Macaca fascicularis: one gene and its partner. The protein of the gene in region 2 binds, or shares a complex with, the protein of the main gene of each other region. Links are inferred from orthologs where the notes say so. Each region holds a gene or a part of one and is shown on either strand. Other genes may lie near its edges.

Region 1 (4,079 bases), on a different chromosome or scaffold from region 2:
AAAAAGGAGAATATGTCTGTTTTTCTTTTTTTTTGAGACAGGGTCTCACTCTGGCCTAGGATGGAGTGTATCACTGCAGCTTCCAACTCCTGGCCTCAAGCGATCCTCCCGCCTCAGCCTCCCAGTATTGGGATTACAGGCGTGAGCCACCGCGCCTGATTCCTGTCCTCTGTTGCAATTAGGCAGGCAGCGCCAAGGATGCACAGAGGCACCTCCTCCCTCCCCCAAGCCCCACCCAGGATGGAGACCCCCACCCAGGTCTTGCAGGACAGTGGGTCCAAGCACGCCCCAACTCGCCCACCTGCCAGGCCTGTGAGGAGAGGCTCTCTGGGTGGCCGCTGGGTGAGGACCTGTTCAAGGTCAGGGGAACCCACTAGTGGGACAGATCATGGGAGTTTGGAAGGAGCTTCTGTGGAGGCCTCAGAGACCCCCAGACCATGTGGCTTCCCTCACACGGCCAGTAGGTGGGGCCTGCTCAAGTCTACCCCAGCACCCACAGGCCTGGCGTTCAGAGGTGGCCTGGGACTGTCTGATGTCCTGCTGTCCGGGTCTGCACCAGCCGAGAGCCAGTGCACAGGACAGTGTTCTGAGGAAAGCAGAACGTGCTGGTCACCCCAGTCCCCATCAATACTGGAGTGGCTCCTTGTCACCCAGCTGGGCCACAGCAGGAACAGGAGATCCCAGAGCAGCCGCATCAGCAAAGCAGCATAGCGCCCTCAAGGGTGTGCCATGGGGTCATGGGGTCCGGGCAGCCCCCCGTCTCCTGACACCTCCTGTTCCACCCTGTGGCCACAGCCCTGGGGAGCGGGGACAAGCACAGCGGCCGGGTGTGACCCATATCCCCAGCTCCAGTTTGCAATGCATCAGTCTCCCTGGCTGTGAAATGAGAACAACCCCTCACAGCATCCCCGCTCCATGGCGCTACCCGACAGAGGAGGCGAGTCACTGAGGTCATGGACCAATTCTGAGAAGGCACAGGTGCGGCCCTGTGCCCAGCAGCACCGGGCAGGGGGAGGGCCGAGAACAGCTCTGTGGTGGGCCAGGCACACCTGCACCCACTGGGAGGGGAGGGCCACTGAAGGGCCCAGCAGGCCAGGGAAGTGCCCTCTTTCTTCCTCCTGCCAGGCTGGGAGGGCCAGAGGGCAGCTGGAGAGGGGCTCTGAGTCCAGAGAAGCTGCTCCCAGGCTGTGTGGCCAGGGATCAGAGGTTCAGAGACAAGCCCAGCTCCCCTCCCCGTGGGCCATAGCAACCCCAGGCCAGGCCCTTTCCCACTGACTCTCCAGGGGAGCATTCCTGAACAGGAGGAAATAAAGATCTGGGGTAAGAGATTCTCGTGCGAGCCAGCCCAGGGGGCCGCCCCCACCACACCATTGCACTGGCCCTGCAGCCGCCCTGCCTCAGGAGACCACGGAAAGGCCGTGGGTCCTGCCTGTCTTTCCAGAAAAGCCTGTCACTATTTCCCCTCTGGGACACCCCAGCTCCTGGTGTGGACTCTCGGGCCAAGCTGTGGCTGGACAGCAGCCACCACGACCTGGGGCTGGCAGAGACCCCTCCATCCCAGAGGGAATCAGATCCTATTTCCGGGGTGTCCAGAGACTGCATGCTGAACCAGGGCCTTGGGGGCAAATGCAGGGTCTTTCCCCGCTCTCTCCCTGGGGACCTCAGCCATCCTTGGTGAGTTTAGGTTTGTTCCAAGGGGCTCAGGCTATTGGCCCCCAGATTCCTGGTGTGCCTGGGGTGGCAGGACTGCCCTGGCAGGGCCCTCTCCCCACAGCGCAGCCGGCCTGGGGCTGACAGCTCCGAAGCAGGGCAGGGCTGGTCTGGGCACTGGGCCCCGTTCACAGCCAATGGCAGGACCAGTGGCCTGGAAGGGAGGGACTCCGCGCCTTTGGACTCCTGTGCCTTGAAATCCCACAGACCTAGGAACCGAGTCAGGGATGCCCGGCCGGGAGAACGAACGGGCGGGCGGCAGGTGGACGAGGACCTGCGTCCGGCCCCACCTCTTCCAGGCCTCACCTGTCCTGGCGCCCGCCCCGGAGCAGCCAGGTGCAGGGAGCCGGGGGAGGGGCGCCGCTCACACCCAGGGACCCCCGGTGCGGGGAGGGAGTGAGGCATGACGTCACCGCGAGGTGGCCCCGGAGCCGGGGGACCCCACAGTCCAGCAGAGCCCTCCAGCTGGCGGCCCGTTCCCTCCCTGCAGCCAGCCCCGATTTCCTCTTTCTGTGCGGAGCCCGAGCTTTCGCAACGCGGCGGGCGGTCCGCGGTGACCGTCAGACACGCAGCCCGGAGGGGGAGGGGAGGCGGCGGCAGGGGGATTTCCGGGGGTCCTGGGGGCGCCTCCCGCTCCGCCCGGCCCGGGGAGACGTCCGGGTCCCGCAGGTGCAGCCGGGCCCGGGCCCCATCCGAGCGCCGGCCCGGTGTTCAGCACCGCCACCCCCGCGGCGTCCGCGGTCCCCCGCCCGGTCCCTGGGGCCCACCCAGGACCCACCCGGCACCCCGCGCCCACCCGGGACCCACCCGGCCCCGCGCCCACCCGGCCCACACCTACCCGGGGCGCCGCAGTCCGCGCAGCGCGCGTTCCCCGGCCGCTGCAGCAGCTCCAGGACCGCCCTGCGCCGCTCCTTGGCCATGGCCGCGATGCGCCCGCGATGCCGATGCCGGGGCCGGGGCCCGGAGCGTCCGCCGGCTCGCTAGGGCCCCGCGCAGGCCGCCCGCCGCCGCCGCCCCTGCGCCATGCCGGGCGGCCTCAGCCCGCGCGCCGGTTCCGCATTCCCGCCGCCCTCCGGGCTCCGCCGCCGCCGCTCGTGTCTCCGCCGCGGTCGCTGAGCGAGTGCCGGCGCGGGGCCCGGGGCGCACGCTGCGCTCTGGCCGGCAAGGCCCGCGGGCGGCCCCCAGCGGTGCAGGCGAGCGTGTGGCCTCCTCCCTCGGCCGCTCCGGCGCCCCCAGCCCGCGCGCCCCGGGGACCCACCGGGAAGTAGCCCGCTGCCCGCCCCTCATCCGCGCGCAGCATCCCACCTGCCTGGGCGAGAGGCCGCCCCAAAACCTGGCCGGACTGGATGGGACCCTCGTGCCGCCACGCGCGCTGGGACGGAACCTGCACACCTACTGTGGGGGGTGCAGAGGGCACCTGCCGAGCCCCCCAAGACCATGGGCACGGGGGTGCTCATGCAAGGCAGGCGTGTGTGTTCTGCGCTAGGGACCAGGGCGCTCACACCATCCCTGCCTGGGAGGGGCGGCCAGCAAGTGACAAACGCCAGCATCCCAGGGCACTGAGGCCGCAGAGGCCCCAGAGGGAGCCTCCCCCTGAGACCCACCCAGCTGCCCACCACCCACAGAGGGGACCCTCTGAGCACTCCTCCCACTCAGGCTGGCTGAGGGGCCCGGCGGGGACTTCACATGGGGGCTGACAGGTAACAAAAAGCCTGGGTTTGATGTCGCCTTCCCCAGACTTGGGTGCCCTTCCTCTGCACACCCCAGCGTCTTTTCAAATTCTTTCCATTTTCTTCTTATATTGTTAGTGCAGTACGCCCGGCTGAAAACAAACTGGAACATACCAGACTGAAAAAGGAAAGCCTCCCCCCGCTGCCTTCCAGGCAACCACTATTAACAAACAATTCCTCAGCACCTTCCAGAATGAACGGTCTGAGGCCTGTGGCCTTTCATTTATTTAATCATTTATGGAGACAGGGTTTTGGCTAAGGGCTGTAATCTCAGCACTTTGGGAGGCCAGGGCTGGTGGATCGCTTGAGCTCAGCAGTTTGAGACCAACCTGCGCAACATGGCAAGACCCCATCTCTACAAATACAAAATTTAGCCGGGTGTGACGGTGGGGGCCTGGAGTCCCAGTTACTCAGGAGGCGGAGGCAGGAGGATCACTTGAGCCCAGAAGCTGAGGCTGCAGTGAGCTATGATGGTGTCACTGCACTCCAGCCTGGGGAAGAGAGGGGAGACCCTGTCTCTAAAAAAAAGAATTTTTTTTTTTTTTTTTTTTTTTTTTTTTTTTTTTTTTTGTAGAGATGGGGATCTTCCTATGTTGCCAGGCTGGTCTTGAAGTCCTGGGTTCAAGTGATCCTCCTGTC
Region 2 (4,156 bases):
CTAAGCACAACCAGACACTGAATCACACAAGGACTTAATACACCGGAGTTTTCTGGAAATTTTCAGATTTTCCTCAAAAGATAACTAATGTGATTCCAAATATCAGAGTCTATACAGTAAAACTACATCATCACAGTAATCCATTCTCATCCCCTCATTTGTGGACAGTGATTTATAAGGTTGCTTCCTGCACTTATACGTTATGATAGAAACTATTAGGACTCAAGTTTTACTATTTGTCATAATTATACACTATAATACTAATAACTGTTCAAAGTAATATTCTTTTCAAAATTAAGGGAAAGGTTCCTACAGATCATATGAGGAAGAAAAAAAGAAATTACTGGAAAGAAAAATGGTTTTTAATCTTTTTTTTTGAGACGGAGTTTTGCTCTTGTCACCCAGGCTGGAGCACAGTGGCGCAATATTAGCTCACTGCAACCTCCGCCTCCCAGGTTCAGGCGATTCTCCTGCCTCAGCTTCCCAAGTAGCTGGGATTACAGGCACCCGACACCACGCCTGGCTAATTTTTTATATTTTTAGTAGAGACAGAGTTTCGCCATGTTGGGCAGGCTGGTCTCGAACTCCTGACCTCAGGTGATCCACCTGCCTCGGCCTCCCAAAGTGCTGGGATTACAGGCGTGAGCCACCGTGCCTGGCCTGTTTTAGTCTTTCTATACAAACTTTAGATGCCAATTTTTAAAAATCACTGGATTTAGAATCCCACCACACTGTATTCCATAATAACCTTTTTATTTATGTTAACAATTACTTCACAGCAAAAATGGAAAAGAACAAATTTATGTGTGGTAATCACTGAAAAAAGAAGTCCACATGCATGTCAGGAAATATAAGGCTAAGAATGGGCACTAAGTGAACTCAGGAGGTACTTTACTCCAAATAATGCACTTCTCTATATAGGCTAATGGAATCTACGGGTAAACCTCAATTTTAAAATGAGTTGAACCCAAGGATCAGCTCACATCCATTCCACAGCTAAAACTATTATTTCTTTGCCTTCCTCTAAACTCTGATGTTTATTACAACCTTATCAATGGCAATTTATGAGTGAAAAGCATACGAATTCCCCTCAAAAAGTGAAACCAATGGAGAAAGGGAGAGGGAAAGAAGGGCTCTAAATATCTGAGATGTCTTTTGTGGTGGTTGGTTCACGGCCTCTTTTTAGCACTGACATTTCCAAGTTTTTTGTGAAAAGGAAATTTTAAGAATGTGCTGAAACCATCCTTTCAGAATCAGTTCCCAGATATGTTTCATTTGGCTTCTTTCTTTAAATTATTGTGATGGTAAACTGGAAGTAAACTGAAATACAAATACCTGAATATTTAAAAACTGACGCTTCTGAAAATTTTCAGAATTGCATCGACGTTTGCTTTGTGTTGTCAGAGTACGAGATTAGTGAAGCAAAGCAGGACTCAATCTTGCACTAGTTGAGAACTTAAAGTAATTAAGTTCTTAAGGAAAAAAACTCACCTGACAGCCTTAATCGGACCTAGCAGAAACAGGACAAACCAATTCCCATAGACGAGATAACTCCAAGCGAGAAACCAATTTCCCCGAGAAGGACAAACCAACAAAGCTTATGTCAACTGATTGATCTGTACGTCTCAATATACACAAAAAAGAGCAAAGAAGAGGAAAACAACCTATAATTTCTACATAAAAATTAACATTTGATTTTGCTAAGAAGCTACAACTTCTTAGTTGTCTCTGGTACTTAAAAGATTCTAATTAGTTCAAAGTCTTATCAATGGCAAAGTCATCCCCTGGGACAGTAATAGTGACCCCAATGATAGAACCTTGTATATAAAGCGTTTTCAAATACATTATCTTATTTAAAGCAACTCGCCCAGTCACGCTGCTTTTTACTATCAAAGCCAAGACCCAGCCCACCTTCTCCCGACTTTTGGGGTTCTCTCCACTCCCTGGGTCTACAGATGACTTCAATGTACTCGGTTTATCTGCTTTCTCTACCCTCCCTGCAGACTTAAGAGAATGTCAGAAAGATACAATTCCACAAGAATCTTGGCACTTAAGCTATTTATTGAGAGATGACCAATGAGACTTCAGGCAAAACCAAAACTTTCTCGACTGTCCAAAAACAACGAAAAAGGCATCTCCTCCACCTGACCTGAATCTCAGGACGCCCAGGTGGAAGGAACTCGCCGCGAGACACCCACCTGGCCCCCTGCCCTCCTTCCCGCCGCGGGCCGCGGCGGTGCAGGCTTGGGAGACCCGGGCGAGACGCGGGGTCCCGGGCGGTCCCGAGGCGGGTTGCAGGGGCTGGCGACCCGCGCGCGGGGGCGACAGTGACAGCTGGCGGGGAAGGCGCGGGGCTGAGGGGCCAGGGCGAGGCGGGGCGACAGGGCCTAGGGCGCCCTCGGGAACCTCCGGGGGAGACGAGAGGGCGAAAGGGCGCCGGGGCGGGGCGGGCGCAGGCGGAAGGGGCAGCGGGGCCGGCACGAGGGGCCTGGCGGCTCCCGGTACGGGACTGGCCAGGGGGGGAAGGGAGGGGAGAAGAGGGAGCCGGGCGACTCAGCGCGGGCGCGGGTTTCAGGGTCCGCGGGCCCCTCCTCGCGCCCCGCCGCAGACTATAGGGGCGGGGCCGCCAGACCCCCCACGGCGGCCGAGGGACGGGCGCGCCAGGCACCTGCCGCCTCAGCCCCGGCGGCCCGGGGGGGCTCGGCTCTCACCTCGCCGGTTCATGGGTCGGATCCGCACCGCCACTTTCACTTTGGAGTCCCCCATCCTGCGGCCGCCGAGGCACTCGTTCTGCTTCCGTCTGCCGCGGCCACCGGCGACTCTTCGGGGCTGACCCGGCGGGAGGGGGCCGAGGGCGGGGCGGGGCGGGGGGCGGGGACCGGGCTGGGGGCGGGGCAGGAGCGAGCTCCCGGCGCGCGCTGGTGCATGACGGGACTTGTAGTTCCCCAGGGTCGTGGGCGGAGCCGCAGCGGAGGCGGAGGCGGGAAAGCTAGGGCGCGAGTCGTTTGCTGGCACTTACGGTCAGCAGTGAGGGCTTTTGTAAATTCCCGTCTTTACACACCATTCTTGCTCTCGCAAGATGTAAGCCTTCGAGAAGTAAGCCTTCGAGAGCTGATACCTTTTCTGAAAAACAGTTGAATAGATGGCGTCAGGGACCCCGCTACCTCTTCCTGCTCATTTCCTGCCAATCTTAGTGTTTGATCCCTGGCTCAAGTTATTTCCTCTGCCTAGATTGCAGTCCAGCCTTGTCCGCTGAGGACGTCCTTCAAGACAAGTTGCAAATCACCTTTTCTGGGAGTGTCCATAGGTGCATAGGTTAACATTGTCCTATGAGTCGCCCTCCTTTGAGACAGGACTTTGGGCTCTGAAAACCATCTGAGTTCAAATCCCACCTCAGCGCTTCCCACTGTGTGACCAGGGGCAAGTTATTTCACCGCTCTGGGTTTGTCTTTAATATGGAAAGTGGAGATGATGCTAGTACCTAATAAAATAGGTACATTTTTAAATAAGATTAACTTACATGTGTAACCTAGCCTTTAGTAGAGACCCATAAACGTTAATTGCAGGAATGAATCAATGAGGCCACACTAAAATTAGCTTTTTATTAGCCCTGGCAGACATTCTAACAGGTGACCCTGTGGGCCAGAGCCAGCCTGCAAACATGTTCTGTTTAGCCCAACAGTGTTGGCCAACACATAAAAATCAGATTTGTGGCCAGGGGCAGGGGGTCACACCTGGAATCCCAGCATTTTAGGATACTGATGCAGGAGGATCGCTTGAGGCCAGGAGTTTGAGACCAGCTTGGGTGACAGAGTGTGAAATCAGATTTGTGCTTGCAGTACTGGGCCTACATTACACATTGGACAGAGTGGATTGGAACTAACTAGCAGCAGCCGCCTTTATCAAAGGCCAGTCTCTCTCCACTTCACCACAGCCTCCCTCCAGGTGGCTTTACCACACATGTGCCTGGACCTTGTGGGTTGGTGACCCCTGCTTAGATGTGTTTAAATGATAGTAATAGAACTCAGAACCATTTTACAGATGAGTAAATACAGAAAGCTGGCAAGACTTGCCCTTTTATCAACCATCCTGTTACTGAACATCTTCAATACAAGCAGTGTTGTCAGAAAAGTTAAAAATACCTTTTTTTTTTAGA

What was found. The genes of interacting proteins can lie anywhere in the genome.
Region 1: the proteins of KIF13B (region 2) and ADAP1 are in contact, whole or in part, in a crystal structure (PDB 3MDB), measured with the Homo sapiens proteins. The link is inferred for Macaca fascicularis from reciprocal best matches to the Homo sapiens genes KIF13B and ADAP1. Residues at the interface, in NP_056069.2 of Homo sapiens: Val451, Asn452, Leu453, Asn454, Ala455, Asp456, Pro457, Leu463, Arg512, Phe514, Asn516, Gly517, Arg531, Leu533, Asn536, Asn537, Phe539; in NP_006860.2 of Homo sapiens: Trp137, Asn143, Gly144, Gln145, Phe146, Leu147, Pro186, Ala187, Lys188, Ile189, Gly190, His191, Pro192, His193, Tyr211, Glu213.

What each region holds. Positions count from the first base shown.
Region 1 is NC_088377.1:34,408,434-34,412,512, forward strand, and holds the start of ADAP1 (arf-GAP with dual PH domain-containing protein 1), read right to left. Parts: upstream 2,833-4,079; 5' UTR 2,631-2,832; coding exon 2,549-2,630; intron 1-2,548. UniProt on the Homo sapiens protein: GTPase-activating protein for the ADP ribosylation factor family. Binds phosphatidylinositol 3,4,5-trisphosphate (PtdInsP3) and inositol 1,3,4,5-tetrakisphosphate (InsP4). Regulates the incorporation of CD63 and CD9 into multivesicular bodies.
Region 2 is NC_088382.1:32,445,902-32,450,057, forward strand, and holds the start of KIF13B (kinesin-like protein KIF13B), read right to left. Parts: upstream 2,826-4,156; 5' UTR 2,767-2,825; coding exon 2,712-2,766; intron 1-2,711. UniProt on the Homo sapiens protein: Involved in reorganization of the cortical cytoskeleton. Regulates axon formation by promoting the formation of extra axons. May be functionally important for the intracellular trafficking of MAGUKs and associated protein complexes.